Caenorhabditis elegans: one gene and its partner. The protein of the gene in region 2 interacts with the protein of the main gene of each other region in a biochemical or structural test. Each region holds a gene or a part of one and is shown on either strand. Other genes may lie near its edges.

Region 1 (16,273 bases), on a different chromosome or scaffold from region 2:
ATTTCGGAATGTAATGATGAGCCCAGTTAATATACATTACAGAGATAAACTGTCAGGTAAGTAAGAATAAAAGAACTCGCTTCTTTTTATATGCTCTCAGTATTTTCCTTAAAGGTTTCAATTTAGTATAGCATCCGGTTTTGTTATTGCAGTAATCCACAAACAGAAAACGATTTTATTCAAACGTAACTTAATTGGCCCCGTGGGTCCTATTAGGGGTGTCAATAAGTTCCGGTTCAAAATTCATAATTTTTTTCGTGGCAAATCAATTTTTCTGAAAATGTGGGAATTTATGTTATCAAACATGGTTTTTCATTTGACAATACATTAAAACACCCCATGTATCCTAGCTCGGAGTCACTTTTTTCAGGCATCTGCCCGATCTCGCTTCTTTTTTTTTTTTTGAGACTAATGTGTGTATTTTGATAAATTAAGTATACAATGTAAGAATAGAATAAATATTTAAAAAAATATTCGTTCAAAAAAAAAATTTTTTTCGAAGATCAAAAAAATACAAGCCACGGAAAAAGTTACGAGTTTTGACCCGGAACTTATTGACACCCCTAATATGTTCTGTTAAATTTGTATCTATGTATGTGGGGGGGGGGGGGGGTTTATTTCCTGCGAAGGGAAGGAATTTTCTGAAGATACATAATTCATTGTTGTCTTCTGAACATCCCAGATCTTGTAAAAGTTGAAACTCATAAATCCCCAACGGAGCCTGGAACTGACTAGACTTGTTATAAAATTAATTGCTTGGATGAACGTATCCATTTTTAAGTTTGAAATTTCAAGAAAAGATTAACAATGGAATCATTGATTAAGTTTTCGTCAGTTAAAAATCAATTGAGAGCACAATTTTTAGTAATATTTGTCTTTGATTTTTTGAAGAGAACACGTTTCCGGAGTGGAGGAAGACAGAGAATAATGGCCAATGGATCAAAAAATGGAAATGCTGAAAGTGCCAATACTTCAAGATAGTTAAATCCTCTGTAATATTTAAATTATAGCCAAATGAATCCGGATATCTTGATTTACCTTCCAAGATTAATGTTGAAAATTGGACTGAACCAACAAAGAATACATGGGGAAAAAATGACAAAAATCGGTATAATTGTCTGGACAATTAAAGCTTTAAGAAGAGCTTTTTGAATGGTTGTTGTGGTTTTACTCATATGTAACGTGTTTTCGGTCAGTTTGCTCATTGTCTAAATAATCAGAATTGAATTAAATTACTTCAGGATTTAACTAACCAAAAAGCCGAAGATTGCATATAAATCAATAGAAAATAATGAAATTCCTGCAACTGCTATCCAAGATCTTATGATAACGTCGTCTGATGCTTCCTAGAAACAAGATAATTGGTTCAATCTGTTGTGGTATGAAGCAGGGGTGTGCGGCAAATCTCAAAATTTGCCGAGCTCGGCAAATTCGGCAAATTCGGCAAATTTGCCGTGCTTAACAAACTCGGAAAAATTATATATTTTTTGATATTTTTTGGAGCATCAAAACTACTGAATTCTTAACACACCTCTGGTTTCTGAACAAGTTAGGTGTAGTGTGTCTGCTTAAACATCAAAATAACTCAATTTGTTGTCATTTTACTAAATTTTTGGCGAAAAAATCAACAGTTTTAGTCAAAATTGTACTGTCAAATTTTTGACGTGTGCGGCAAATTTCGAAATTTGCCGAGCTCGGCAAATTCGGCAAATCTACTTTTTTGAAATTTGCCGTGCTCGGCAAATTCGGCAAATTCGGCAAATTTGCCGCACACCCCTGGTGTGTATGTCCTGGAAGTTTTGACGATTTTCAGTTTTTGGGAAAATTGATCTTAGAAAGAACTATGAAGAGCAAAGGAAGAAGTTGTGAAAAAAAGACATTACTATTGGTACGACTATGGTCACAATGGAGTAGAATATGTTGAATAGTGCAAAAAATAGCAGAAGATATCGATAATGGCCAAACTTGTTTGATTTTTCCGTAAACAGCAAATACACAAAAATTGGATTTATTATAAATGCAAAGGAAGCAAAGATTTTTGGAATATAGTGATGAGCCCAGTTTATGTACATTTTGATGATGGAATGAAATGAGAAATGATGATGTGAAAACAATACACCTATAGTTTTTAGTTTTCTGTTTTAAAATCATGTGAGCTGACCCTAGAGATTTAAATATAAACTAGAATTCTACCGGAGGCCGAGGTTGGCAAGAACACAAGAGTCCTGAAGTTGGAAAATAAGTTTGATTAATTTCGGAACTTTATTTCATTTTGCCATTCCAATTTGTTCTCATCATTGACTCATTTGAATGATTATGAGCTGCAAATATCTAAATGTAAATTGATTCTTGAACAGTAAGTCAACCAACTTTGACACTTTCTGCCCGAAAAATGGTAAAACTAAAGCAAATAGTTAGGCAGTAGTATAAAAAGGTCTGTTCTCCTTTGTTCAAATTAAGAACTCGTCTATTCTTCTGATTATTTTAAAAATGAACGCTAAATTGTAAGTAGTTTTCAATAATTTTATAACTTTCAATGCAACCAATTTTCAGCCTTCTCTGTGTATTGGCTTTTGCCATGTGCTCAATTGTTCAAGAAACAAGTGCTCAATACTATGGTTACTCTTCATATTACCCAACATACTATGGAGGATATGGTCCCGGAGCATATAATGGATACTATGGTGGAGCTTATGGATACGGGGAATATGGATATTATGGAAAGAGAGAAGCTGGATTTGGCCCAACTCAGCAAACCAAATAATTCTGTGTTTCTCTATCTTTCAACCACAATAAATGGATAAACAACATTTTTAGTTTGCTTCTTAAATGAAAATTTATAATAGTTTGAGTACGAAACCGTAAAAGGTCACAAATCTGAACATTTTTTGACTGATCAACAGCGAGAACCACCTGCTTAATGGAATATAAATCTATAATTTTTGAGAAATATTTGCATATATTATATAGGTTCAACAGAAAATTAACAACAGAGGAGCTTTTCGAACAAAGAAAAGAGTCGATCTGAATTTTTTCAGTAAAAGTCTTTGCCACTTTCGAAGTCAAAAAATCACAGAACTTGCGTAAAATCCTAACTTTTTGCAGCTATTCAATTCGACGAAAATATGCCTAGCTATTTAATCTACTTTTTTAAATGACATGGGTTTGTAAAAGTTTGCTCACACACTCACAGAGCGTCTTTAGCTACGTGGCCTAAAAAATGTAAAAGCTCGGCCAACAATTTATTTTTGATTTGTCAAGTTAGATCTTTCTGAAACTTGCCAGCAATGACCTTGAAAGGGGCTTCTTTACTTAAAATGAGAACAATTTCGAGGAAATAATCTTTATTTATTGTATAAGGGTGACCGAGGGTTTTCATATCATGACGTGATAAAATCGCTCCGTTCTGCTGAAATTCAAAAATCGTCCCGCTGGCATTCACATCAAAAATTCTGATACCAAAAAAAAACAGGAGAGCAGGTGAAAATCAAAGATTGTCTTTATTCTTCATAAAGTTTTTCTTGTTCATTATTCAACCCAAGACATGATTTTAAAATTGGAGAAAACTCCAACGGATTCTTCTTATTTCTGGTTACCTGTTTATCTTTACAATGAACCCGATATTGTGAGAATTATAGTTTCAATAACTGAACTTATTTTTTATTTTTTCGCTTTTTATATTAACAGCGTTTGCCTCAAAGTGTACCTCAAAATACAATTGTTTCATTATAATTTTATAATTTTATCAATTCCAATGTTTGGACTTTGGTACGAGGCTATTATTGGGAAAATGATTGTAATGCTGTATAATTTAAAAATATTGAAAGTTATCGATCATGAAATATATTTTTTTGCTTTATATACAGCTGATACTGAAAAAATGTTAGTTGTCAAATCTATCAATGGACTTGAAATGTTGATTTTGTCTGGTTTTATTCAGTGGCATTACATATTTTCAATGCTTTTTGGTATTCTTGCAATTTGTATTGAAAGAATATTTGCTTCAATGTTGATAGAGTAAGTTTCAAGTATTAAATTGTAAATTAATGTACTCTATAATTATAACAAGTAATTAACATAATTCTAAAACGTTTTTAATAATTTCACACACGGAAAAGCGTTAATTTGTCAGAAAAAGAGATTTGAAACTAATTTTTCAGCAATTACGAAAAAAGTACACAAATTTGGATTCCTGTTGTACTCATTGCAATAACACAATTTTTTTCAATTACTGTTGCATTGGGAAATCTTTTTGAAATAATTGGAATACTCGCATTCAATGGTTTTTGGATATTCACTGGAGCAATATCAGTAATTGTAAGTTGATAGTGAGTAATTTTTGACGTTGGAAAGTTTGAATACTTTTTGCTAAAAAAACTGCATTCGTGTATTTTAAAAATTGTCTTCTACAATAGTTTGATGGTATTTTTTAAAAGAGAAGAAAATAAAATAAAAAAAGATTGAGTAGATAACATTTCAACAAATTCTGGCTACTATTTCCAGCTTCATCTTGTCATCAAGAAAATAAATAACGACTGGCAATGTGAAATGGAAAGCCCGAGACGAAAAAAGTTCTTCACTATTTCCCAAAGATTTCAAGTGAAGGAGAATTTACGTGCTCTACGAGTAAATTCAAATTTCATTTTTGAAATCAGTTATAATCTTCTTTTCAGGTTGGCAGGAGATTGGTTATATCAGTTATTGTGACTGTAGTTGTTTGTGGTGTTGGGATTATTGCGCTCATTCTTGAAGTGGTTCCACCATTTTTATGTCATTTTGTTGAAAACTGCATTTACCTGTGAGATTTTTATATTACAATACATCCACCTTTAATTTTTTCAGAAATCCATTCCTTATATGCACAGTCACAATGTACAGCACTCATGCGTGGAGAAATGAATTTACAAAATATTTTCCGTGTTGTCGGTATTTTGGAATTGCCAAAAAAGTGAAGATAGCAACAGTTCTGTCAATCGCGGATTCAAGAAAGAATACTGAAATTGAAACTCAAACTTACTTCAAAATGCTCAATGACTCTTGGGTTTAAATGTTAATCAATATTTATTCTTTTAATTTTTCCAGCGATTCATCAAAGTGTAAATGAAAGTAGAAATACACTTGTTTAATGAATACCAATTTTAAAGAACAATTAAACACGAATATAATTTTGTGATTTTATTTGTTGCGAGCACTGTACTGTACTTCATATCATAACAGATGGGTGCACACCAAAGTTATATAAATGTATTCACCGGCGACAAAAAACATGTAAACTTCACTACACCATCCATCAATTTCATGTTTGGTTGACAAGTAAACAACCAAAAAAAAACTATAAAAAGCTCCCTTCTAAAATGTCAATAAAGGACACTTTTTCCCGTCACCTTATTTTTCTCCTTTGTCTTCCCAAGCCGACTAAACAGGAACAATTTGCATAAATGGTGCTTTTGAAGAAGTACTTGAAACATCAAACAACAACTCAGATGACTTCATTTTCAGAGTTATGAAATAAAGAATTTTTGTGAATGATTGGGTCATGATGAGAATGATACAAGAATGCAATCATTCAAACTAGAAAAAAAACGAAAAGAGTACGGGAGACAATAAAAAAAATTTAAGAGCCGGTTGGAATCAGAGCACACATTTCAACGTGATGGTAAGTTAATCTGAAAATTGAAATTATTTTATCTTAAAAAGTATAACAATACGAACAAACAATACAATTTCAAACTTACCACAAGCACAAAATACAGAAATTCCTCCTTTGCTGGTTGATATTGTTCTATTTATTTTTATTGTTCCTCTTGTCCATCAAAGATACGTGCACGTTTACCCCGAAGTCCTTTCAAAGACATCATTGGCACTCGTTTGTGATAAGTTGGATCCCTCTTTCCGCGTAAACCACGAAGGCCCGGGAATGCGTAAGCTTCACCTTCAGAAGCTGATGATGGTCCACTTCGTTTGTATTGAGAAGGCCAGTATACTTGTGCCTGTAATTTGGATACTATACAGTTTATTACTGCTTCACTAGATTTACTTTTTGACTTTACGCGTGCGCTAAAAGTTTACTATTAAAAGTTGGCAAGGAGAAGAAATGCTAAAAACATCACCTCCGAAGTTAATTTTACTTTGAAAATGTTCAAATAAGTTATGTTATCTGATAAATTTCTGATCCGGAAGTAAAAATGAAATCATTTTTATTCTTATTTGTTGCAATAAGGTTCAGAAGAAAACGTAAATAGGAAAACGTTTTTGTCAAATCATATTTTTAGAGTTTTTTTAATAAAAAGAATCAACAAGTAATGAATTACATTGCATGTAATTTTTCATAATATTGAATTCTTGCTGCATTTTTTCAAAAATTTTCAATTTCCTATATTGACGAAGGTTTTTCTAGACCTCCCTCATTCCCGAAAAAGCTCCAAACCGCCCCCAAATCCTAAAGTGCTTCAAAGCAGAAAAACGAAATTTATACATTTCACAATTGGAGCGTAAACCGGGTTGAAGGAAATTTCCGGTTCCGCTTGTGTGCACCTACAAAAGTCAGTAGCACTTTATCTAATTTTTTGGTCCCTCAGGAGAATATCAAGAAGCAAATACAATAAATAGGAGGAGAATGGAAAATCAAATCTTTCAACTTATTGAATATTATTGAAGGTGGTGTCTGGGAGTATGAATTAAAAAAGTTAGACTTTAAGTTATTATAGAGTCATGAATAATTCATAATTTGATGTTTTCAATGCTTGAATGCAAAATTGAAGTTTTGATAGTTTAGGAAAACATGCAATGAACAATGCAATAAACAAATTACAATGCAATTATACTTATATAGTATTGATAATTGAAATTTTAATTAAACTCTCTCTGCAAACTGGTCCTATATTTTATTTATTTTATTTCAAAGAGGTCAGAAATTCAACTGACGAATTGAAAGAAACCCTTCAAAATAATCACGTTTTATGACTAACAGGATGTTTTTTTCAGACATGTAGACCATTAAGATAAAATAAGGAAATGAAGAAAAAGGAAATTAGGGAAACCCGGCAGTGTGAGACCTTTTTAAACAAAAGAACAAAGAATACTGATAATGTTTGTAATATGTGCTTTATGCCTAGGATGTCGATTTAATTGAACTACAAGGATTGGTTTGATTTTCATAATTTGCACTACATATTTACTTTATAGCCATTAGAAAATAAAATTTCATGGTACTCAATTTTCTGAGAAAAAAACGTTTGAATACACCTAACAAATTGACTGAGCCTGTAAAAATCTGACAAATTGAATTGCAGTTTTATTAAATTATTCACTTGTTATTTTCCAGAATCAGAGTTACAGACATTCTCAAAACAAAAAGAAAAGTTTAGTTAACTATTCGAGTTCTAGTATCTCCTAGGAGACTATTAAGTGAAAAGTTATGAATCACGTAATGTGCAAGCTTGCATTTGAGGTTTTAAATTTGATGAGCATTTTTTATTTAAATTTAACATTTTTGTTTTAATTTTTATGTTTCCACTTTTTGAAAAAAGTCAAATTATATATAAGTTGAATCAATTGAATTTCATATTGTAATGAAATAGGAAATATCTTAATTAGTGATATTTTCAATTTACATACTGCAAAATTTGCTATCATTCAGAAATCTATTTTCTAGCGTTTCTTTTGTGATTTTTTCTTTCAATGTTCCATTGATCACTTTTATATGATCTCTAAAAATATTTTAAGTTATTAGACTTTCCTATGACTACATCGTTCAGCCATCGTCCATCATCGCCCGATTCGTTTCGGATTTGATAAATGCTTTTTCATTTTCAATGTACGCACTTTTTTTTCGAGAATATAAGAAAAAATAGAAAAGATTGAGTGTTTGTCGGCAAGTTTTTTTGCGAATGTTACAGTAAATCCCGAAGGACTTCTCAACTTCTAGGCCAAATCATTCAAATAACTTACATCGTCAAAGTGTGTTTCGAATTGTGCTGTGGTGATGTGTACGAACAATAACAGAAGAAGACCCATCACAGAACATTTGGAGATCATGACGGCAGATGAATGGAAGAAGGCGTCGGAGGAAAAGACGACGTCCACAAAAAGTGAGAAGTAGGAGAAGGAGACTCTATTCTTCATCAACATAGCCCCGCCCACTTTCTGCGAGCAGTTTTTTAGGGGCGAGGCTTAAAAAGGCCAGGAAGAACTTGGGATTACTTGAATGAAGGAGGTGAATGAAAGGCTAAAAGGTTTGATATCATAGCATTAATTATCATTTGTTGTTTCCGATGGGCACACTTCCTAATTTGATCTTTATACTGACGTCAAGGAACATACACAACAGTTACCTTCAAAATTTTTATCTAAGATTTAAGAATAATCTTTGTTTTTATAAAATCTCTTATAGTAGAGCTAAGGAAAATGTGTCTGTCAATGCTTTAAAGTGACCATCACAATTTGAAAAAACTAATATAAAAATGTGATAGTAACTTCTTAGTTATTTGAATTAAGATAATTTAATTGATGAGTTCTCTGAAACGGGCGCGCACTCGACAACACATCGCAACACCTCAACGTACAAGAAATTTCTTAACCAAGTTCAGTCAAATTTCGGCGGTTTTTGAAAGTGAATTTTTGGCCATACCCAACTTTAACCAACTTGGCCTTGATAAGTTGATTGAGAAGTTGCGGCAAACCGACGAGCACTTATGGATGGGGCATCCCCGCGAGAAAAACTATATTTATTTTTGTTTTTTTGAATGCCGATGATCTTTTAAATAATAAAATGTTACTTGGAATAAAAATAAAGGAAATTGGCACAATGATGATATAGAAATCCTGAAGAACTTGAACCGAAAAGAGAAAATGAAATATCTATCCTACTAAACTAAGAAATTACAACGATTTCCATGGTTGATAATAAGTAGTCACGCCATCCTGAATAGGTACCTGTCCTCTGCTTACCTGCTTGACTACCTTCGTATTTTCCGTATTTGATTGCGCTTTAGTGCTTTGGCAGTAGGTACTCGTAGGCACGAGGCAGGCACTAGAGTAGTAAGCAGGAAGGCAATGATGTGCCAACCTAAATTTTTTTACCACCGTACACCATTTTCAGACAGGAATTCAAAATTATTTAGTTCTCGTTCTGTTTTCATGGGTTTTATTTCCCTTTTTCGTTTGTTTTTTCTAAGGATTTGAATTTTTCCAATGTGTCTTAGCGAGCACTTAAAATTTTGAGAATGATTTGAGCACAGTGGTTGTTGATTGATTGCTTAATCCTTCGTATTCATTTTATTGTCTATGAATGAAAGTTGGTGTGTTTTCGGAATAGTTGAATTTTAGCTCACCTAGGTTTCATATTTGAAATTTGACATTTTTTGAAAGCTAAACACTGGAACCAGACTAAAAGGTTCAACGACCATAAATCTTTTTGCACTTTTAAAAAGGTATAAATGTTTTCATTTCCTGTCCTCACGTCATCTAGACTGCTGAACAAAAATATTTAGTTATCTTCATTTCTTGAAATTTATTTAAAATCCGGAAATTATTGAAAAGTTTTTTCGGAGACCTTGTAATTTTCAAGATGTTTGACAAATCTTTAGACAATATAAAGTTAGACTCACTTCCCCCGAAACATTAAAATTATGAGCAACTTTTAGAATTGGCTCAATTTTTGTTAATTCAGCAGTCCCAACGAATAACTGAAATTTTATGAGCCGTAATGTTCAGTGTGAAATTTGAAGAATTTATTTTATAAGAATCAAACCCTGCATTTCCATAGACCAATACAGAGAGAATGATATCATTACTAATAACGAAGCCAATAAAATACTGTTCATCTTTTTGAAAATATTTTGTTTTATGTTAAGCACTTTCAGTAATCAAAATTCAGTCTCAAACTATGATAAAACCAAAAACAACACAGCACTGATTGATTTCACTAAATGAATATTTTCAAGGAAAAACGGCAACGACGGAATGTCAAAAGCGGAAATATTAATTCTAATTCACTGCTATTTTTTTAACTAAGAATATTGGATTAACTTTATTTGATTTTATTATACTTTGAGATTACACTGACTTTTACTGAAATGACTCATCAAAACACAGCAACTGTTGTCTAATACATTCCCGAGTAATGTGTCCCTGTGAGTACCCAATGATCTTTTGAGAAAATGGTTGATGGGCGGAGAGGAAAAAAACATAATAAAACAGACAAACCGAGACTCCGATTTTTCGTACATTAAATTCAATTTTGATAAGACTTATTGTCCATCTATGATAAGAGCCCAGTCGTCAACATCGCTCAAAAACTTCCAAAACTTCAAAAGCATTATTATTTTCCTTCTCGTTGATTTCTTGCCTTATAAATTCAATTTTCTAATTTTCACTGTTTCAGGGATGAACAAGTTGTTCGTCTTACTGATTGCCCTTCTCGGGCTTACCGCAGCCATGCGTGATCAGTCGATTGCAGTAAAGGGACGCCTTCTGTGTGGGAATGGACCAGCAGCCAATGTTCGTGTCAAGTTATGGGAAGAGGATACTGGTAAGGCATTTTTAATCGTTTTCCTTAATGTACGACAATTGTGGTTTTTCTTGAAAGTGCTATCAAACTATCCAAAGTTACTTGTTGATTGACTCTTTCAGTATCAAAATTTAGTTAGAGAAGAACCATTCCGTCGAATATTTTATGGTCAATCAATTCTATTTCAGGACCAGACCCGGATGATCTCCTTGACCAAGGTTATACCGATGCTAATGGTGAATTTAGTCTTCAAGGAGGTACTGCTGAGTTGACTCCAATTGATCCAGTATTCAAAGTGTACCACAAATGTGATGATTCGAAGCTCAAGGTGGGTGTTTGAAGTTTTTGAGCAAAAATAACTTTGAATGTTGTTGCAGCCAGGTGCTCGCAAGGTCAAACTCGCACTTCCGAAAAGCTACATCACTAGCGGAAAAGTGGCCAAGAAAACGTTTGACATCGGTGAGTGAAAGTGTCAGAAAGCAATATGGTTGAGTGATTTCACATGCGTCATTCACTTTCTTCAGGAGTGCTCAACCTCGAAACAGTTTTTGCTAAGGAAGAGCGTGAGCTTCTTGTATCCAGACGTCGCCGAGGGGGTTTCAATGCCGATTATATGGATCCAGATAACTCTGAGAAGGATCAAAGCAAAAGCAGTGAAGAATCAGAAGATAAAGAAAAGACTGTGGAAACTTTCTAGACATTAATCATTTTCTCAATACTGCACACAAGGGTTTCAGATAATATCTGAAAATCATTGGGCTTCATTTATTTTCTTTAACTGAAAACAATATGATATTATGATAATAAAATTATTGTTTTATAAAAGTGGATAAGATTATTATAATAGAAAGATAGATAACATTGTATTTGCAAGCTGGATGGGGGTTATTGCTTTTGAATATTTCTATGAAAAGTACATTTCGAAAACTGTAAAAGGAATTTGTGAATCGTTAGCCAATGTATTTTTAACCAAGTTCAACGACTACAAAAATGAAACATACATTTTTATTGGAAAATTAATAATGATATTTTTATTGAATTTAAGATACAGATTTCAATTTGAACTTATTGCAGTATCCTATGCATTTCATGACAAGTCCTCGCATGCAGATTTCACACTTCACGCAACCTCCTCTTTCTTCCCGAAACATTGTATTTCTGTGAAATTGTCATATCCCCTTTCACCTACCAATATCCTTTCAATTGTCTTTCTGTCACCATATTCTCTCAATTACCTTTCTTTCTCCGCTCATCGCTCAACTTTCTCTTACTGTTCGTTTCCAACGGGTAATTAGAGTCCACGAGACAGCGATGCGATTCCAGTTTGTCCACTTTCTTATAGGTCACCGATCTTTTGTCCGGCCAGCTTCAGCTAATATTCTACTACCTCTCTCATACCAGCTACTTGGGTATGGATCTTTTAAATGTGAAATGGATATTATTGTTATTGTTTCTGATATATCCAGGTACTTTTGTGAATTAATATAAACCGTAATCTTTCTTTTATTCTTGCATTTCCAATTGATCTACTTTGACAGTTCTCGGTTGAATATTTTCTTTAATTTTATCAAATATTTTCCACAGAAAAAATATTCTCAAAATGACGTAGAGCCATGGTATGCAAGACTAAAAATTCGTAGCATAAATGACCATCATAGTTTTTTTTTTTCAGTTTACACTGAAATCTCATCCTCTTCTGACTTGAATTGTGACTTTACGACAACTTGTCGTTGGAGAAACTCATCCGATGTTGGTGGACATTTTGAAACGACTTCGCTTCTTGAAGCCGATGCTCAAAACCGAATAATGCCCATTGATGAAAATAATCGTAAGTCTTCATACTTTCTCATGATATTTGTCTTCTAGAAAAGATTACCTTCTAAGAATTGTCATTCATTGCAAAAAATTGAGCTCAAGAATTAGATATTAATGAATTACACGAAAGTCTTCCTTTACTAATTCTGATTTTACTTCTTTTTTTTAAAAAGTGATTTCTCATCAGGATCATAAAATTAACATTGGCAATTAAGACAATTTCAGCGAAACCATTTGCATTTACTGCGGGATTGATGGGACGAATGATGGCTCTTCTCGTTTCCGAGGTATATTTTGTGATATATTTTCCAAAAAGCTATAGCGTTTTAGGTAATAACCTGTCAACTTGGAGGTGCAAGTTTAAAATACTGGTATTACAAAACTGGTTTGGATTCACAACTAGAAGTTTGTATCCGTCAGCCTCCAGGAAATAAAGACTTGAGCCAGATGAGGTGAGAACCAATTGTTTTACTTTTAATTTGAAATAACTCCGAAGTTTCATCAGTTCTGTGCACTATAAACTTTGTATTGGATTCAAAATATGTAATAGACTAGATCATTTTTTGTTTGTTTTCTTGGTTTTCTGTCATGTGCTATCACAAATTTCGTTATTTTTTGTTGGAGTATTTACCAAAAAGTATCTTTTCTATTTGATTGAACTGAATCTAAAAATAAAGTAGACAGTGCTAATAATAAGTGTTAAAATATCTTCATCTTTTGATCATTGCAACAGTTCACCTAAAGAACAGCGTATAGCAGATTAGTAAATTATTAGTAGCTAGTAGTAGTTAGTAGTAAATCAGTAGTAAAATAGTAAGTATAGTAACTATAGTAAAAAGTATAGTAAATTGATAATATTTTACGGTTAATTCATAATTATTTAGATGCTACGATGGAGTTTCCACCTTTGGGAAACAATGGATATTCCGTGCCGTTGAACTTCCCCCAATTGCTCAACCCTTCGAAATTGTTTTCAAAACTATATATTCTCCACCAAGCTCGGTCATTGCTCTGGATAATATTGTATTCGAGGCAACACTTTGCGGTTAGTATCTGAATGTTTAATTTATTGATTTTTCTGTTGCCCACTATTTAGGGTACGGTCGTAATCGACGTGAAATTCGACGAATTGGTTACCACGATTGGCAATCTTACCGATCTTCTAATTTATACAACGGAGAGTTGATGCTAATTGTCGCTCAGGATGGTGCAGATAAATTGAATACTTCAATTGCTAGTAGTACTTCAACAACTACAACTACAACTGATATTCCCTTAGAACTTGAAGCTAAGATATCAATTTTGAGTAGTACAACTGCCCCAACTACTACAGCACAAGTTTTAACTACTACAACAAGTAGCGAACCAAGTACAACAACGACTCCGCCGACAACTACACAAACTTCATCTTCTAATCAAACTTCGACAATATCAAATGAGCAGCAATTTGCTAATTTTGTCAATTTCTTGAAGCAAACAGCTCCAGTTATTCCGTATATCCCAACTCTAGTTAGATCTTTAACTGCATTGGATCCGAGATCTTCTCCATCTGAGAATATTTTACCGCCTGGGACACTACCATCAAATCCAGCTCCAATTGATGTGAGAAGAAGTCCAGTGGCTTCTTCTCATTTCTACAACACCAATCAACCAACATTAGTCACTGATAATGATCAAGAAAACCAGAAAACGTTAGTAGATCTTGCCAAAAAGTTCGGATTATGGGAAGAAAGCTCGCCATATTTGACTACAACTCACCCTCCTATTGCTCGAAATACAGACAACACAAATAGTTTTGGGCTACCAAACAAGTTCCCAGAAGGATCAATATATCCCCCCAACTTGATGAATAAGAAGAAAATAAATATTAATCCGATTAAAAAGATTCCGTCATCAACACCATCTACACCTGTTGAAAATATCGAAGAATATCACAAGAATCTTTTCAAAGTAAGCACAACAACTCCATCCACCCTACCTCCATCATCCACCGAACTGATAATTTTCAAACAACCATCTTCTGGTGAAGCAGAGGTAGCAGGAAAGTTAGCTGATATAGCTAAACTCTTACCATCTGGAGCTGTACAAGATCTGACATCATTGAGAAATATTCCAGATTTAGATGGATTGACTAAAGGAATGGATTTGTCAGATATTCGAAAACCTGGTGGATTTGGTCGATTGAAAACGCAATTTATGGAGAGATTGATGAGAAGAACATTGGGATTGCCAATGGAAAATAATGATGTGAGGCTTCTGCCACCACCAATAGTTCCAATGAAAGTGACAAGAAAAATGATGGCTGAGATGATGAAAAGAAAAGCTGCAAGAAAGAGAATGAATTGATATTTACGAAACATTCCGTTTTTGATTTTTGATTTTTATCAATTATATTCATGACTTTTTGTTACGGGTATGAAGATTCTTCTCATGAACCTTCTCTTATGTTATTTATATGGTTTAATCCTTTGAGTATATCAAATCTTCTACTAATCCAAATTCCTATTTACTAACATTTGCAGAATCTACCAGTGGTGGAGCATCGGAAGGTGCTGGAGGAACATTCGATGAAGTTGGTCTTCCAGGAAGATCACCAACCCAGTTACTGGATTTCGATGGAAATGATGTGACAATCAATCAATTTGAGAGTGTATCAGTTCCTATTCCAACTCGAGCAGTTCATTATGGAGCCCCAACAAGCCAAAAAATTACGAATCCCATGAAAGATGAGAAGCGAAAAAGCAACGATTTAAGAGGTCCAAGGACTGGTCCAATGTTTGCTTCAATATGCTCAAATGTGGATTGTAATTTTGATGATAATGTAGGCACATAGTTGATTGAAATTAATGTCATTATTGTATTTCAGACATTGTGCAACTATTTGACAAGCTCAACAAATGTCAGCGCAGAAGATGGAAGCTTATTGAAAAAGTGGGCACTTTCCAATCGCAGTGTCTTGAACTCATTGACAGGAATTCCATCTGATCTTTCCAAAGGTTTCAGATCATTAGTATATTTAAAACTTTAATTTCATTCCAGGAGGATATTTTCTTTATGCCGGTGGAACAACAGCAACTCCTGGTGACACTTTTATTTTATCAACAAATCAACCAGTTACTATAACAGAACCGGCAAGAGTTGATTTCTTTGTCTATCAAGCAGGAATACGAGGACAATTCAGAGTTTGTATTGATGATAATGAAGATTGTCCAGTTGTTTTAGAAGGAAAGTGAGTAGGTTTTGAAGCCGTGATTTTAATAATGATCTACCTAACTGGAAAGAGCTTCCTCAAAAAAAGAGTCATAGATTCCATTTGAGCTGGGTCGTCTAAAGATTTACGCTCGGATATTTTTTCAAGTTCAGCTCAGAATTGAAAAAAAAATTGTCAAATTTTTTACGTACATTAGTAAATAGTCACGAAAAACGCGTAGGCTTTTGAATTCATACATATAGGCGTTCTTGTTTTCATGTAAAGTTTACATATTATAATGAAAAAAGAGTATTTCAATGCAGTATCAGTTTAATATTTACTGCAATTTTTCAGAGACATCGATGTGAACTCTCAAAAATGGAAGAATTATTACTTCGAACTCAATCCAGGACAACATGTTTTACATTTTGTAGTTGAAGGACTTTACAACAACTATGTCATTGGTTTGGACAATATTCAGCTTTTGAATCGATTTGGTACAAGTTCTTTGTCTTGTTGAACAAAATATTCATTGAAAATCCAAATAAATATTTAAACCTATATCAATAAAAAAAGACAGAATCCAAATAAAATACTCAAAAAGGAAGGGGGTGATTTGGTGCATGTAGGTGTTTGTTAGAGAGTTCAAAAACTCTCCCTTCTTGAAATACGAAAAAGCGAATAGGGGGTTGTTATGAGATGAATACAGTACTTATTAAACTACAAACAAGGGGGGTGTATAGACATTTAATCAGTAG
Region 2 (17,586 bases):
CATCGATTTTGCCATCAAAACAGACCAGTTTGAAGCAGTTCACATCGCCTATTACGACAAGGCTCTCTATGCTGAGACATATCTTCTTTTCTTTATTATCAGAGATCTCAGGTAATTTTTAGTTTTAACGATTAATAAAAATGTCAATTCTATTTTTACAGAAGTGCTCTCTTCTACGCCACGAAATTCGGAAAAGAGCGAGATGTAGTCAAATATAAGTCGAAGCTATCCGAAGAGATGCTGAGAAATGGCGAATTCCACGAAGCATATCTCTACGGATTGGAAGCGCTTGTATCGATTCGGAAGCTTGGATTGAACGAACACATTGGAGATGTGTTGCTTACAATCGCAAAGTGTCTCATTGCACTTGGAAAAAGACGCCAAGCTGCTTATTTTATCATCTTGGGGAGTGTTCTGACCATCAACCAAAGCAGTTTCAAACTGTTCTACGAGCAGATCGACGTGGCGATGAATCAAGAGAGAAGCGAAACGGCAACTGATCAAGATGCATGCCTCGCAATTGATTCGTCTCCTGATCCGACATCCTCGAATGACATGATTAATAAGTTCGTCGTCAAACTGGAGCACGCAACAAATGTTGAAACCTGGGAAATGATTGTCAACGGAATCATTGAAGACCAGAAGAAACCAGTAGCGATCGAAAAGAAAGAGAACGAGGAACCCGTAGACATGATGGATCTCATTTTCAGTATGAGCTCGCGTATGGATGATCAGAGAACTGAACTGTCTGCTGCCAGATTCATTCCGCGTAAGAAATATTACAAATAAGCGTAAATGTATGCAAATTTATATTTTTCCAGCTCGTCCAGTGTCATCGGCATCGAAAAAGACTACAAAGAGCCACAGAATTCTCCCTGGACTCCGTGCCAATTGGACAAAAGTGCAGTCGATGAAGTTCGATGGTCACACAATGAATAGGATCCTGAAGAGGTCGAAGAAAAGCAAATCGTCATTGGATTCTACAAATTCGATACAGGGCGATGATACTCGAAGCGATGATGTGACAATGACGTCCAAATAGGACCATTATTTTTTCTGTCAAATAATACAATCAAACTTTATTTATTTTTTACTTTCTTTAAGTAAATGTTATTATTATTTTAGTGGTTGTTCTTTATTATAATTTTATTTTATTTGATGGTCAGTAAAGCTAATTTTTTTCAATTAGCGATATCCGTCAAGTCATACTTTTATAGAACTTTGTTATTCTCTCTGAACTTCCCCACGTGCCCTCCCAACGTCATTTCAAAAGCTCATGGTTAGTGACCTCGGAATCCGGAAGATATCGAAAGTAAAGAGACGCAGAGAGATGGAGACTGCCAGCGTCCGAGGGAACGAGCGCCATTCTCCTGCATCCTTTCGTATTCTTCAGTTTTTAGGCGAAACCTAGACCCGAAATGATTTATGTTTTTTCTCCTATTAAAAATACTTTTGAGCGGCTAAATATGATATTACTTGAAATACGTGAACAATTTTTTTGAACGCTCAAATCTCCGACATTGGAGGGCGTAAAGTTTGCAATTCTTAAAACTGTCGTATCGGGTTACCTTTTCTTTTCTCTGACACACTTTTCTTTATTTTTTCATTCAATTGCGTTAGTCTTTTCCTTCTATAAATACTTTTCTTTCAAAAAATATCAGAATCTTGATGGGAAAATGCTCTTCCCATCATATTTGGTCATTTTCGCTGACCGTCTTATCAATAGAAACACGAAATTTCGGAGTATAAGAAGTGTGGTAATCGGTCAGCTTAAAAGAAAATTTGTTTTAGGTAAATATAAACGCGTGATTCCACTGAAAACATGTAATTTGGAGGCGGTGCTCTTTGAATTATGCCTACGCTCTTTACCCAACATTGTAAATATTATTAACTGGTCAGGCACTTTACACAAATCTCTTAATATTTTCACGAAAGTATGGTGATTTTTTCCAATTATAAAATTCCCTTTCTGTTATTCCATTTTTCTACCAGCTTCATCACATTGCATCACTTTTGCGCGCTAGCCGTGCTCCAAATAACCGCCCTCTGTTTCTCATGTGTCTCACCGCGCCTTCTGTTTTTTCTTCTTATTCTGTTTTAGCGAGAAGCAGTTATCTCAAACAACGTCATCTGAGTTTCACCCTCTTGTTGTCCAAGTAGTGAAATCCGATTTTCAACGAATTTCAATTAGTCCTGAGAGCTCTTGAGTTGGCCTGCCGCTTGGGCGGCTCTTCCTTTACGTTGCCGCATTTCTTATCTTCTTCACCACATTATATGTTTGATCGAGGAACATATTTCAATTATTTTTGTTATCACTTGAATTTTCTGATTTTTTGTTTTCAGGCTGTCAGTCGGTTCCCAGCGGATTCGTCGATATACGAAAAATAGTGAGAAGCTCTCGACGACGAGCCAATAATTATGGAAGGGGCTACTACCAAACCGAGTGAGTTGATCGTAAAGTAAAAACCACTTAGTTTTTTTTGGAAAAAACGTAGAAACTATGAAGACCAAATACAATTTAAAATTTTGAACACATACACCGGATCTGTGCGGCAAATTAAAATGTATAAAAAGTTATTTCCATCCGAAAATAATATTTAATTTTGTTGAAAAGCTTGAGAAAAATCTCAAATGGCACCTGAAAGTTGCCGTTTGCCGTTAATAGTTTTTAAAACAATTTTTCGGTAAATTGCAACTTTCAGGTACTATTCGAAGCCTTTTCAAAAATTTTAACAAGATTAAATGTTATTTAGCCCTGACAGGCACCCGAAATTGATAGTTTGGTCGTGACTCTCCAAACTGTTCTGAAGTTTGCAGACGAATGATTTATTAATGATCGACTTTCGGAGAGTGTAACAGATACCAGAAGAAAACCGAAAAAAGTTCATAAAAGAAAAAAAAAGAAGAAAAGATAAATGATTAAACGCTTTTTTGCAGGGCTGGTGCCATCCACGCGTTTTGCGTTGTCCTTGGTCATGTTTTTTGGATGTCTTGTCACCTACATGATGCGTACGAATATGTCGTTCGCAGTTGTTTGTATGGTTAATGAGAATAAGACGGACACAGGAGTGGAGAAGGTCTCTCGTTGTGGAAAGGAAATGACACCTGTGGAGAGCAACAGCTCGGTAGGGTTTATTCAGTGATGAAAAAAAACAATTTGAAAACCGAATGATAAAGAATCATGCAACTTTTTTTAGGTGATTGGAGAATTCGATTGGGACAAGCAAACAACTGGAATGGTTCTTTCATCGTTTTTCTATGGATACATTGGAAGTCAAATTATCGGAGGACATCTAGCTTCACGTTACGGAGGAAAGCGAGTAGTATTCGTGACGATTCTTGGATCTGCGCTCCTTACACTGCTAAATCCTGTCGCTGCCAGAACATCTGAATATGCTCTGGCTATTCTTCGTGCCGCAATCGGATTTCTTCAAGGAGCAACATTCCCTGCAATGCACACAATGTGGTCTGTATGGGGACCACCTCTGGAATTATCTGTCTTAACTGGAGTTACATATGCTGGCGCTCAAATCGGAAATGTAATTGTACTTCCACTCTCTGGATTCCTCTGCGAGTACGGATTTGATGGTGGCTGGCCGTCGATCTTCTACATCATTGGAGTTTTCGGTGTTCTCTGGACTGCTGTTTGGTGGTATGTTAGCTCTGACAAACCAGCTACCCATCCTCGAATTACACCTGAAGAAAAACAATACATCGTAACAGCCGTCGAGGCTTCAATGGGAAAAGATACTGGAAAAGTGCCATCAACTCCATGGATCAAAATTCTAACTTCTCCTGCAGTATGGGCTTGCTGGGCTGGACATTTTGCCGGTGATTGGGGAGCATACACGATGCTTGTATCTCTTCCATCATTCTTAAAGGATGTCCTTGGATTGAATCTTTCATCTGTAAGTTCAATGCTGAAATAAAAAAAGGTTCATAATATTTATTCATTTTTCAGCTTGGCGCCGTTGCTTCCATTCCATACATTGCATACTTTTTGGCTATTAATGCAGGTGGAGTCCTTGCTGACACACTACGATCAAAGGGAATCCTCTCAACATTGAACACCAGAAGAGCTGCTATGCTGGTTGCTCTCATCGGACAGGGAATTTTCCTCGTGGCTTCAGGTTACTGTGGATGTGGACAAGATGTAAGCTAAAATTATTTTAAATGATAAATTTCAATATCTTGGTTTCAGGTCCTCGTCATAATCTTCATTACCTGCGGTATGGCTATTTCTGGCCTTCAGTATGCTGGATTTGTCGTGAACTACCTCGAAATCGCCCCACCATTCTCTGGAACAGTGATGGGAACTGGAAATACTATCTCCGCACTTGCTGGTATCATTTCACCAGCTGTCAGCAGCTACTTGACACCTAATGTAAGATAAGAAAATTAGAACAAACATTCAAGTTTCAAATGCCAATTTTAGGGTACTCAAGAAGAATGGCAAATGGTTCTATGGTTGACTGCTGGAATTTTGACAATTGGAGCTCTGTTGTTCTCAATCTTTGCATCTGGAGAAGTACAACCATGGGCTAAGCTGACCGCCGAAGAAGGCCATGAGATGGCTCCACTTAGAGAAGGAGAAAAGATTGAATTGGCAACCGCCTAATCATCATTTTTAAATATTTTAATCTCTCTCTGTTCTATTTAGGCTCTTGTTTTATTACAACCTGCATCATTATATGTCTTTGAAACCAATCGAGCTTTATTTTTTTGTACCACTACCAAAGATTTCACTTTCGTTTCAGTATTTATTAAGATTTTATCCAAAGTTACAAACGTTGATATACAAAAATATCATAAGCTATGATTCAGCAAAAAATAAACACGTTTCAATCACCGTTCATGGCAACTCAGAAGATGTACTTTTGAATATTTCTTCGTATTTTTCTCGGAATGCATCACACAAACCAAATCTGGAAGTGTAGAATATCAGATGTTTGTATTGAGAGATTATTTTACAAACCTTGAGAAGAATTCTCTTTGACTTTTTTATCCAAACAGGAAGAGTTCACTCTTCCTTTTTGCAAAGAAATAGCCATACTTCTCATTTTATCCGGGAATAATTGTGAATATTCATATTGTTCCTTTTTGCAGTCAATCACTGGAATCCATCGGAAGACGTACCGGAAGCCAATGCGGAATCTGAACATTTTTACAAATAATTAACATTTTTTAATGATATTCATTAGTGCTACCTTTCGTTGGCAAAACAATAAATAATTGGATTGTATGCACAACTAGACATTGCAATCCAGTAAATCAACAAATACGCATATTTTCCACGAGCTGCATCGAAGAATTCTTCAAGAGCGAATGCGTGATAAATGTGGTATGGAAGCCAGCAGACAACGAATGCAACGACCATTAGGAAGAGCATTTTTACTGCCTAAAGAATTTAAAATTAATTATTTCCCAAATGATGGTTCATTTTAAACATGTGGGTTCAAAGAATTTCAGATTTTGATCGATTTTTCCGTATTCTAACACTTACTATTACCTGGACGCAACATTTTCCAATTCTTGCGGCAAGAATACGGTACCAGGTCTCGACACGACATATTTCTGTTAAGTGCAAAGGGTGTGCGTATTTAAAGAGTACTGTAATTCAATACTTTTGTTGCTCCGGATTTTCATTGATTTTTTGATAGTTTAAAAAAACGAAATACTTTTCAAAAAATCTATGAAAACTCAGCAGCAATGATAGTTTCAAATTACAGTACTGTTTAAAGGCGCACGCCTTTTTGCGTTAAACTAATATGTGTCGTGTCGAGACCGGGAACCGTATTTTTTCAGTTAGGAAATATACCTTGCTCTTTGCGCGTGTGTGATTGTTCTTCAGACTACTGTCAGTGGCTTCATTTGTTGCTCGAAATGCAACGGCAATCCGTGTGAACGTTGATCCCAAAATGATTATAGGTAGAGCATATTGAATCCCAAAGAGCACTTTTTCAAAGCTGAAAAAAATTAAATTCATTCCCAATTCGACTTCAGATCTCTTACAAAGTATTAACTGGTGCTGAACAAACGTGAGCTTTTGAAACAGTTGATGTAACCACGTCATATGTGTAGAGAGAGTTGACCTGAAAAAAGAAGAAGAAGAATAATGATAAATTCTAATTTGCTTTGAATAGATGAACTTACAGATGCAGCAATTGCAAACGGAAGTGCAGTAACCGTTGAAACAACCCAAATGATGAGAATAGCAATGACGGATCTTTTTCGAGATAGTGGACGTTTTTGTAGAGGATTCACGACTGCTTGACATCTGAAATTTTGACTAATGATCTTTGTGCAAAGGGAAATAAACTCAAAAATTTCAAAAGAACCTACCTATCCCAGCTGAGAGCCATCATTGAGCACACGGATACGGTAGTTGGTGCAATACCGAAGAAGGAAGTAAGTGTACATAGATCACCATACCACCAGTCATAGTATAAATTATAGGTCCATGAAGTACCAACATTGAAGAGAGCAATCAAAAGATCAGCGAATGCCATATTGAAAAGAAAATAGTTGAAGCCGTAGTGCATTACTTTGTGTTGATAAATTATCCACATCACGACAGAGTTTCCAATTATTGCAGTTGCCATCAGAAGGACAAATGCAATTGCCACAAATACTTGAGTTGCTCTGAAATTATTTTTATTGGATTTCTAAATTTCAATTATTTATTTAATTAAAACATATTGTTGTTAAATAAATCAATAAATACGTAATATGTACTCAATTAAAAAATATTTTATTTGAACCTACACGTAAAGATAAAAAATAATCATCCCCCAGAGTTTTCGATTCAGTTTTCAATTTGTTTCCGATTCAATTGCAGCGATAAGGAAAAGTTATGGATTCGACCATGACCAATTACATGGGGTAAGCTCTTGAAATCTCTCATTGCTGTACATAATTGATTGTTTTCAGTCAAGAGAATCTTCCTCCTGCATTGAAGCTAATCAATGATAAGAGTTATCAATATTCGACACATAAGCATAATATTGAAACTTCTAACGGTAAGTTATCAGGTCTGAGAATGTGCTAGAAAACAGCCCAGTGATTCGTAAAATGACAACGCTAATTGCTCATGATTTTTGTAAATTCGAAATTTGCTTCCGTTCCTTAGATTTGGGGTTTCAAGCTTGAAAAAGTAGGCTTAGGTTTTCCGGTTTATAAATTTGGGTGTAGGCTTTCTGTCGTGATAATATATACCAAAGATAAATGCCTAATTTCGAAATAGGAAAATTAGCGCTTGGCTTTCAGGCTTACCTCTCGTTATATGATATAGGTTCAGTTGGACATGTAAATAAAATGAAAGAGCAAAAAGTGATGTCTATTTACGTTCCTGTTAGCATTCCCACTTCTCTCCACTCAAACCTTTAAACTATTTCAGATGGAACTCTTCACTCATACACCATCGTCCTTTCACGTGAACCACTGGAATCTCCGACATCTTACAACAAATATCAGAAAAACGTGGAACCCGTTCAAAAGGAGAACCAAAAGCCGAAGGATCTGAACAAGATGACTGCAGGACCACATATTGCTGTCAAGAATTCATCCGGTCTTGTCAGTCAGATCAGTAGTACTACATCGAGCGAGAGGAAAAGACGTACTCTGGCCAGACCGTCGAGTTCTTCGGAGAGTGATTTGAAAGTCGGAAATATTCAACAATCGAATCAGTATTTTACTCTTCCGTCGGTAATGAAGCCATCTGCACTTTCTACGGAAGATCCAAAGAAGGTGATTGTTCAATCGAATACTTCTTCTTCATCCATGTCTGATGCTTCTTCTAAGAAAAGTCTTCCGACTTATACATACTTATCGGGACATACGACAGGATCTGCTAGATACGTTACAATGGTTAATGTCAAGTTTCTGCTTCTTCATTGTGATGTACTCCAAAGACGGTTTGCTAGAAGTTAGTGAAAAGTTGTATAAATTACTTTTTCAGTGCTCAGTCCATGTTTACTGACGAGTTTCCCTCGGACTGTCGTTTGGAAGAAGTTGTTATCAACTTCCATCAACTCTGTTGTCGCCAGTAAGTTTTTATTTTCTGGGTTTTTAAATCTGATTTTTATAGAAATTTCAGACTTCTTGATCAAAACTTCAATCCTCGTCTGTCGTATTGTATCGGAGAGCTCAACTACTCGGATTCCAAGCCAGTCTCAGCAAATGACATGAGCAAGACTTTGGCTCAATTGGCTACTACACAATCGATTGCTCAATTGTCAATCATTGTGGATGTTACTGAGAAGAATATGAAGTTGAAGTGAGACTATGGGAACTACAGTGAATATGTGAATGAAGATTTTGTGATGATTGTTTTTTTCAAAAACAATAAATGTCAAAGAACGTTGTTTTTACCTTAACTCATCAAGGATGTAGTTTTCATGTCAGACGTCAGAAACATTTTAAGAATTCAAATATCTGACCAGGGCTCACTGAATCTTTTAGACATTTCAATAGGGCTAGTGATCAAACAAGTAACAGATATGATGTAAGACTAAGTTATTCTATGTACTTACAATGATTCTCTGGAACTTGGAGCACAGAAGAATATTCCCTCGAGTTCAGCAGGGAGAGTAAGATTTTCAGCATTTTTACACGCACGCTCGCCAAGTTGAATTAAGAATTCTTGATTCATTGCGTCTGAAATTATTTATATACTATTTGAAAGCTTGAAAATAGTTTGAAAATAAAAAAGAGTCTGAAAAAAGCAAAGTTATATAAAGGAAATGAATACGGAAATTTTGCAAATAGGGGAAATTGAATTATAAGGGTTTTAAAACAAAGAATTTGTGAAAAGCTCAAATGTTTGCAGAAAGGTGAGATGATGAAGAGCAAGGTGTTTGGTGTCTATGCTCAGAATTTGGTGATTGTGGCGGCGGCTGAGAAGGGGAAGGTTGTAACCACAAATAATTCAACAAACTGAGCCTTGAATCACGAATTCAGGAATAGGTTCTCCTCTTGGAATACCAAGAAGTCAAGCGAATGAAGTCAGCAAAATTTTGAGAACTGGGCTGAGAAAATTGCAAGTCGAAGAAAAACAAAATTGATTAATAGGGAGAAAATGAAACCTAATTTGATAAAATGATTGTTTTCATGAATCGTAGAAATTATTCAGAAATAACTTTTGTTTTGAGACAGACAATATGGGTACATTCAAATTTGTCTCGAGAGTTCATTTTAAATGTCAAATAGTCCGGCAACTTTCCATAGTGCCACTGAAAAATATGCGACAAGTTATATAAGATTTCAGAAGTCAAAATAAAAAAAGTAAGTGAAAAAAAACAATTTAGAACCTCGGGGGGAGGTCTGATAAGTGCAGCATAAACGAAAATAGATTCATGTCACGTTATAACTTAGTGATCCGAAGTGGTTGTAGTTCTATATTCTTTATCCTAATGCTTTTTATGGAATACAGTCAGGTCACTAGGCACACATCATACCTGCCTGTCTATGGGACTGCCTATGTAGATTTGAGAATTTCTAATTTGCATTTTTCTGGTAAACGAATTTGACAGCAAAGTAGAAGCTTAGGTGAATTGAAAGAACGTACTGCGCAGTGTTTGCGATTCTATTTTTTTTTAATGTGGGGTAGGCACAAGGCAGGCGAAGGCCGTTTTAGACATGTGTCCAGAGATAAAACATTATTAGGTGTTCTACCAGAAACATTTTCAAATTTATTTTGATTAAAATCTGCTCCAAGTGTTGTGAAAACTGAATTTAACTTTAAAAAATACGGATACTTTTCAGTAACCGCTTAAGTTTAGCTGGTGGAAAACGAAATAATAGTACTTAAATTTCAGAAAAAAACAAGTCCAACATGACTCTGTAGGAATTTCAATTTTCTGAAGTTCTATGAATTTTTTTTGTATCAGAATTCATTTTGAATTGAATAAATAAAAAAGGCAGAGAGAAAAAAAAACACATTTCAACAGCACGCTCCAAAAATGACGTAAATAGGTAGAATTTACTACGAATTGAAAGCATATTTGTCTGAAAAACTGAGAGCTCTCCAACTTGTACTAGTAAATTTGAAAATATCTGAACTCAGATAATTTAGACGCTTTTCTGTAATTTCTTAGGCGTTTCAAAAAGTTTTGCAGACGGAAGGTTTGTCATTTTTACCAATTATACAAAAACTCAAACTAAATGGAAGTTTATGAAAGTTTCCAGAGCTTCTCAGAACACTTCCGAAATTTCCTAGAGTTTTTCTCCAATATTCAGAAATTTGCGGAACCTTTCAAAAGAGACCAGAAGCTTATGAAGCTTTTCCAGAAAAAACCAAGACATTTTCAAAATTGAGATTCTACACTTCTATAGTACCCTTAAAATTTAACTAAAACACAGACTTCAAACTACAATTGTAACAGATCCTATGATTGATTTAAAAATATTCTTCCTTGCCGGTCAAAAAAGTGATCAAATGTCAAAAGGAAGTTGTAATGAGATCTGTGACATCACATAGATCCAACAGAAGAGTACTCTAATTCATTAGGTTCGAAAAGACGGATATTTGGAGGTGGAGCCTGATTCATTATTCTCTCATTTCCGCCTCCATCGTCGTTCTGTCAATCTTTAGTTTTTCTAAAATAGTTTTCAGAAAGTTAGACAAAGGACGACGGTGGTGGTGGTGGAGCCGAGAATTTACATAGAGAAGCAGATGAGAAAAGAAAAAGCGGATTCAGAGTCCGTATCTCATAATTATTGGTTATATTATATCCTCTTCTGGTATCAAAACAAGAATGTGACAAAGAGAGGAATGCTGTCGTTGTTTCTGAAAAAGGAAGAGAAAGAAAAAAAAACGAATTTAAAGGAAAAACAAATTGGAACAAAATAAATGGGACCCAGGTGGGGCTGATAAAGGGTATTTAGGGGAAAACGGCGAAAAAAAAATCTGAAATGAAATATTTGAAAGAAGCTGAATCGTGTTTCATCGAGCAGGTACACAACTAACACTGCAAAAAACACTGGAAAAAAAAATCTAAGAATCACAAATTCTTTGAAAAAATTAGCTGTTATACTCGCTTATTAAAAGTTGTTTCTTCACTAAATACAGGTTTAAAAAATGCAACTTGCGAGGAAAGTTTTGGGAAAGTTGATCTTCTAAATTTAGTATGTTTTGTGAATTTGGGAACACTGCATGTTTTTTTAAATTGAGTTGGGTTTAAAAAATTCCAGATTTTTTCCACGAAAAACAAAGATCGAAAGTGGTTTTGAATATTCAAAATTCAAAGTGCTCCTCTGCTGTCATTTTTAGGTCTTCATTAATAATATACTTTTTCCAATGATAAAAGCTACATCTTAAAGCGCAGGAGTGATCTCAAACATTTTCTTTGTCACGTACGTAGATAGGTACAAATATTCTCGAAATTTTAAATACAGAAGAAGAAGAGGATAGTTCGAAGAACAACGACGAACAACGGCACAATGGACACAACGACTGAAAAGATGAGCATTCTTTTTCTTGTTCGGACCATTTCTCGTGCTTCTTAGAAGTGTTAGAAATAGGAAACTTACAAGGAGTAAGGGGAACGCGAAATACGAGACATTATGCATAACTTATAGAATAAGAGACTAAAATAAAGTTAAGTTGGTTGGAATTATAGAGATATGAAAAATACAATAAAAACTGCTTGATTGCTTTGCTATTCATTTTGATAGGTTATATCTCGGTATATTTTGAAAATATCATTTCAATATAACTTTAAAACGGTAGAAAAATAAAATAAATGTAACTAATTGTAAGATATAAGCTGACAAAGTTTAAGAATGGGGTGCAATAATAAAGAAAATACGTTAAGTAATAACTGGAAAACTACCAGATTCAGACGACATATCCATAACATGTTCCTCACAAGTATCTTGAAATTTTTGATGCTCAAAGTCAACAGCCACGCCAACAAAACCAGTACTTGAACCAATTCTGTGGGTGTGGCCATATTTTTCACCGCCTTTTTTCGAACCTCCCACAAAGATCTGCCCTTGTTCTGGAGTTCTTTTCCGGATAAATGAATTTTCAGAATTTTTTAGGCCTCACGAAAATAGGCTATTTACTACGATTTTCCAAATTACTTATTGAATAAACTTATTATATATTCACAGAAAATTTCTGCACGAATTCCAAAGTTCACCCTTTTCGAAAATTACAACAAAGTTCATAAATATTTTTCCAAAAGCTACTACCAAAACACCATAATTTTGTTTTCCTAGATCCCGTTGGATGTACTTTCAAAATTTTTTTACTTCGAACAGAAAATAAATTTTCCCGGACACCGAATCATAATATTTGCCATGCTCTAAAACAAAGAAATGAAAAATTCCAAAAAATAATTAGTGAAAATTCAGTGGAAATTATACACAGAATTACCATTTTGATTACAAACCCAATGAATATATTATTATTATTTTGATCCAACAGGGGTTTCAGTTTCCGTTGAAAATAGGAAGCGAGGATTCTAATTTTGAATTTCTTCTACGTAATTATTTCAATTCATAATTTGAAACCTCGAGTTCCAAAAACTCTTTATTATAATCAAGATCTTTCTTTTTCCGCCCTTTTCCAAGAATAGAGCCATATTTTATGAATTCAAAAGACCAAACAACTGTGGGTGAGAAAAATGGAAACTCTTTTTGAATCAATTGGTTTCCAATTGGAATGTGATGGCCCCAGGCGGTCCAATTAGATCTCATACGGCAAATATGTGTACTCGTCTAAATTTCCGAATGTTTCAAGGATATTTAGTACTGAAAACATTGAGCTTACTCAAAAAAGGTTCATATCAAATGCCTTATAATGTCAATTAGAATGGAGAAGTTTGGAAACTTGAACTTTCGAACTTTTGACCACAAACTTTTTGAATTGAACATTTAAAAAACGTGTTGAAGGTAGAGAATTTTTTTAACCTTTCCCAAATAAAAGCTTGAAATTAAAAAAAAAACTTTTTTTATTTGCTGTCAAAGAAAGGCCAATACTTTTTTGCCAATTTACTAGAATTTTCAAGAAATTTTTTTTACCTGAATTTTTTTCGGTTATTTTGGATTATTATAAGTGTACATATTTAGACAAAATCCTTAGATTACGAACTGAAAATTTTTTAAAAATTCACCGGAATCAAGAAATCTGAAAATTACAGATATTGTAACCCGGAACTTACGATTACTGTTTCTAACACAACCTAAAAACATCGAATAAGCCGTCAGAGCCGCCAATGTTTAAAAATTCGAAAAAAAAAACAAACTAATCATCACGAAACTTATTAGTTAAAACATTGATGAATATATATATACAGAGAACACCAAAAAAAACCAAAAATTGAAAACACCCGAAAAATTAAAAATCTGAGAAAAAAAGTTGTCAGAAGTGAGCACTAGCCGAGCATAATTTGATTGATAGAAAACAATTCGAGCCCTTGACAGGAATTTTTAAAAGCCACAGAGTTTTGAAGTTAAAAGTTTTTTAAGTTTTATCACCTCGGAAAATGTTCTACAGTAATCTCAAAGACGCATAATCAGAAAGTTTATTTTTCTTTCGAATGAATTAGAGACCAACCCGCATAACTTCTCTTAAAAGTCGCTGTAAACGGCACAAATACACACACAATACGAAGAATAGTGTAGTAGACCAAAAATTTCACTAATTTCCAAAAAACGCATAAGAAATTTCGGTGAATTTCGATCCCCTCGTCAGACAAAAACAGGGTGATATGTCAAGTATTCGACAGTTTTTTAGAATGCTCCAAAAAAAAACAATGTGCATATGACGTGGCTTGGATACAACAAGAAAACAATCTTGAGGGGACGGACGGATTCGTGTGACAAGAATAACAAGGAAAAAGGGATGGAAATCCGGTGTCACTCAACTTGAGAGAAATCTTTTTGATAGTACAAGAGAGTCATAAAAAGGGAAAAAGGGAGGATATATCTCCCCAAACAAACTCATTTCAGCGATTGGAATAAATGTACTAGAAGATGAAGAGGGTTTGAAAAGAAGGCGGGCAATTAATTGGAGTATAAATTCCAAGGGATCATTCTTGCCAAATAGTGTTAATCAAACTTAAATGAGTGCAATCGCGCTTCACCGGCAAAGATAAAACCGTAAATTTGAACAATTATATTTATTGTAGTTCCACTAAATTTTGATTGTATAAAAATAATTTAAAATTTAGAAAAATCAACGAATTCATAAAATATTAACTTCCTGTCTATTCTCAAAACTAGAGTGAAAACTTTAAAAAATCTAACCAATAGTACTAGTACAAGGGGAGAATCATAAAAGAATAAAGAAATAAAAAAATCCATATCTCATTCCATCAATTGGAATACTAAAAACTCATTCTTCAGATTCACACCTGACTGATTTCAGACTAAAAATGAGATCAGAGAGCATGATCTTCCGATTCACATATTTCAAACAGGGGCGGAAGTCGTGAATCTCCGAAAAATAAGATGCACATACACATACTAATTTGATTCTGACACTAAATATATAGGCACATATGACGATGGGGGTGGATTGAAAGAAAGGAAAAATTAATTTCATGTCACTTTTCTGTTGTTTTTTTTGCTGCAGTTAATAAGAACAAGCACAGACGAGCTTTTTAATCTCTTTGAATTTTTCCACACCTACTTTTAAAACGGATCACACCACGATGAAAAATTCGATGTATGATCGACGGAAAAAATAAAAGGATGTGCTCATTGAAATTCCACGTGGGAATACGGGAGTGCAAAACACGGACCAACAACAAAGTGTTTAGTGGTCGAACAAGTGAGATTCAGCGAAAAAAACAACCTTTTCCTTCTGTTATTAGCATTTTGGTTTATTAGGAATTTCCTGGATTTGTTTTTCACACCACGTTTCAATTTCAGTTTAAGATCAAAAATTTCTCATAAATTTCAAAGACCGAGACATTATCAAAATGAGGGTTAGAGTTTAAGGGGGTTTGAATTATGTCTTCCCTGCAGGCTCGGCCGCGTGTCTCATGCCGCTTCGGGCCTCTGTATAGCAAATTTTCGAGAAAAAAAGTAAATTTTTCCAACGGTTCCATGTCGTAGTGGCCTTTTCAGTTTAAAAAAAAGGTACTCTATTTTTAACAATTAGGTCGTTTGTTCCGAGACTTCAAGTTGGTTAATGTATACATGTATTTTCAGTTGGAAAGAACTCAAATTTTTTAAATATATATACCATTTGGCTAAATTGTGTCTTAATTGATGTAAATACGTCAAAATTCTAAAATATGCAAAACGAGAATGATTGAATAAAAGTTAATTTCGGTCCGTTACGACAAGAACAAATTGACAAAAATCAAAATAATTGCCAGATTGATTTTGATTTTTTTTTCGAAAATTTGAACCGCCCTAAAAAAGTTTTCGATAAGTTTTCTCATCATAAAACATGGTAGTTTTATTCCAGATCTCTACTCTTGTTTTAAAGTTGAAAGAAAATAGGGCTAAAATGAAAACTAAATCGAAAACAACAATACCCAAAGCACGGAAAACAACGTAATGTTTTTTGGTATTCAACCAACTATTTCCGGCAAAAAAAGAAAACGAACATCATCCCTAAAGGAATATATTGAATACAGACAAAAATAAATCAGGATCCACGGAGCCACACCTTTGACGTCTTTTACGGAATCAAAAAAAGCAGGGTGGGGTCAAAATTGAATTATTAATACGTCTGCGATTATAATAGAATTTCGGAAAAAGTTGGAGAGCTCGCTTCCCGCGATCAGTGTACGCACGAATTTTATATTCGATGACTAACTAAACTTTGAAATCAAATAACTTCGCTTTGCTTGTAACTTATTAACAATTCGGTAAGATTTTACGCGTGAGGTGAGTCTATAACTTTAATAAAACTTGAATCGGATAGCTCGGCGTTTGCAGTCAATTTTTTACAAATTTTTTTCTCTAGAAATAAGCTTGAGTTAAAAAGACTTGGATGAGGGAGTTCGCTTTGAAATCTCTGATTTGGTTTTAGTCTGGCCTGTGCAAAAAGCTGAAAACAGTTTAGTACGGATCTGGAAATTCTCAGTAGGGACCACATCGGTAAAATGGATGAATAGTTGCTAAAATGTTCTAACAACCTCTACGCCAATAAATTCGAAAATTAAATTAAATTTAAAACATGCTTGAACATTTTTTATTGAATTGTAAAATTAAAATTTTTTTGGTATTATAAAAATGATAACACATTTATAAATTGGACGCTTGCAAAAACAGAGTTTAGCAAAAAATGTTTTCAGCAAAGTTGTCAGCATTCTCAAAATGAGCAAATTAGAAAGTGCTCATCACGTTTGTGTGACATCTGAAGTAGAAGCAAAGTTTCAGAAGAGGTCAGAAATTACAAGAAGGTGTAGTGGATGATGAAGCTTGAGTCATATATTCCACGCAAGAGCAGTCAAGTGTTCATTGAATGATGTAAAGATGGAAACAATAGAACTCTGATCCAAGCGAGATGAATGTGAAAAACTAGAGTGGATAATATATATCTATGACATATATATAATTTTAATTCAATTCAGTTCTTGATCTTCGATTAATTTCCGTTTTCTGTGTTTTCATTTTCAATAGAGTCTCACTTTTCTAGTCTGCGCGAAAATATTTTTAAATGTAGCGTCTAGAAGTAGAGGCCAAAACCAGAAAAGAAATACAGACATAAAATTCAAAGTTTTTGTAACCTGCCAAATTTACAAAAAATGTCCAAGTTGAGCATTGCTACAGGTTTAAACCAGGGCTGTGCAGCAAATTCCAAACTTGTAGAAAGCAAACATTTTCGACAACCGTAAAACAACAAACTCATTGAAAATAGTTATTGAATTCAACTGAAAAATCTAGTTCATTTTCAGGAAATTCTGAAACCGGTTGCTTCCAAATTAAAACAGAGATCTAACCAACCATATCAAGAAAAAAACTATATAATAGTTTATAAAAACCAAAGAATGTGACCAAGAAAGGTACTTCCGTCACATATTATAATCACCTCCCCCTCCAAATGTCCTTACGTCATGACGGAAGGAAAAACAAAATAAAACCGAAACATGACATGGCTTAAGTAGGTTTTTTGAAAACTTTGCTAAATCCCTTTTTTCTGCAAACCCACCAGGACAAGAGGGTCTGATGCATTGAAATGCACGGCTTTAGTTCGAAACAAAGCCAATCTATTCGTGTGATTAAAGACTCAAAACACAAAGATGAGCACAGCAGCTATGAGGAAATGAGATCCGTATACATAATAGTCAAAAAGGTTCGTGACAAAGTGTAGATTAAAATGGCATGGCCTTTTTTTGAGATAATGATGAGGAAATAGTACATATAGATCTTCAAAAAAAAATTGAGGGGGGGGGGTTGTTCAATATTTCCTATGGTACTAAACTTTCAGTGCCAAAATTAAAAGAGTAAACGTATTCTAAAGTTTCTTAAAAACCTCATCCATTAAATACTTTCACATTTCACTAAAGTTCATTTTTCAGAAAATAGTCATTTTAAACTAGAGGTGTCTTCTTCGTTGACAAGTGTCCTAAAGCTACACTACTCGAAAAGATGATCAAAAACCGGAAAGTAAATGCGGAA

Evidence for each region.
Region 1: the proteins of tkr-1 (region 2) and nlp-58 interact in a test that uses a peptide from one of them, tested with the Caenorhabditis elegans proteins (one large-scale study listed by BioGRID).

The regions. Positions count from the first base shown.
Region 1 is NC_003283.11:9,940,849-9,957,121, forward strand, and holds nlp-58 (Neuropeptide-Like Protein), read right to left. Parts: upstream 8,093-16,273; 5' UTR 8,038-8,092; coding exon 7,951-8,037; intron 5,991-7,950; coding exon 5,793-5,990; 3' UTR 5,736-5,792; intron 5,667-5,735; 3' UTR 5,473-5,666; downstream 1-5,472. Other genes in the region: fipr-12 (FIP (Fungus-Induced Protein) Related), read left to right, coding at 2,491-2,504, 2,554-2,764; sre-28 (Serpentine Receptor, class E (Epsilon)), read left to right, coding at 3,545-4,017, 4,161-4,317, 4,504-4,626, 4,674-4,798, 4,843-5,047; ttr-46 (Transthyretin-like protein 46), read left to right, coding at 10,387-10,531, 10,699-10,838, 10,888-10,969, 11,035-11,207; mam-5 (MAM domain-containing protein), read left to right, coding at 11,922-11,976, 12,183-12,338, 12,551-12,612, 12,656-12,777, 13,210-13,370, 13,422-14,671.
Region 2 is NC_003281.10:9,374,865-9,392,450, reverse strand, and holds tkr-1 (putative G-protein coupled receptor tkr-1), read right to left. Parts: upstream 8,656-17,586; 5' UTR 8,651-8,655; coding exon 8,532-8,650; intron 8,329-8,531; exon of another isoform or gene 8,280-8,328; coding exon of another isoform or gene 8,096-8,279; intron 8,045-8,095; coding exon of another isoform or gene 7,958-8,044; intron 7,914-7,957; coding exon of another isoform or gene 7,397-7,913; intron 7,020-7,396; coding exon of another isoform or gene 6,931-7,019; intron 6,883-6,930; coding exon of another isoform or gene 6,854-6,882; exon of another isoform or gene 6,808-6,853; intron 6,643-6,807; coding exon 6,343-6,642; intron 6,278-6,342; coding exon 6,154-6,277; intron 6,093-6,153; coding exon 6,013-6,092; intron 5,967-6,012; coding exon 5,819-5,966; intron 5,399-5,818; coding exon 5,208-5,398; intron 5,155-5,207; coding exon 4,976-5,154; intron 4,926-4,975; coding exon 4,846-4,925; 3' UTR 4,747-4,845; downstream 1-4,746. Other genes in the region: gpr-2 (G-protein regulator 2), read left to right, coding at 1-111, 162-769, 822-1,042; putative transporter slc-17.2, read left to right, coding at 2,419-2,443, 2,938-3,125, 3,198-3,908, 3,962-4,153, 4,202-4,384, 4,436-4,618; C38C10.3 (uncharacterized protein), read left to right, coding at 6,854-6,882, 6,931-7,019, 7,397-7,913, 7,958-8,044, 8,096-8,279. UniProt on the Caenorhabditis elegans protein: Not known. Putative receptor.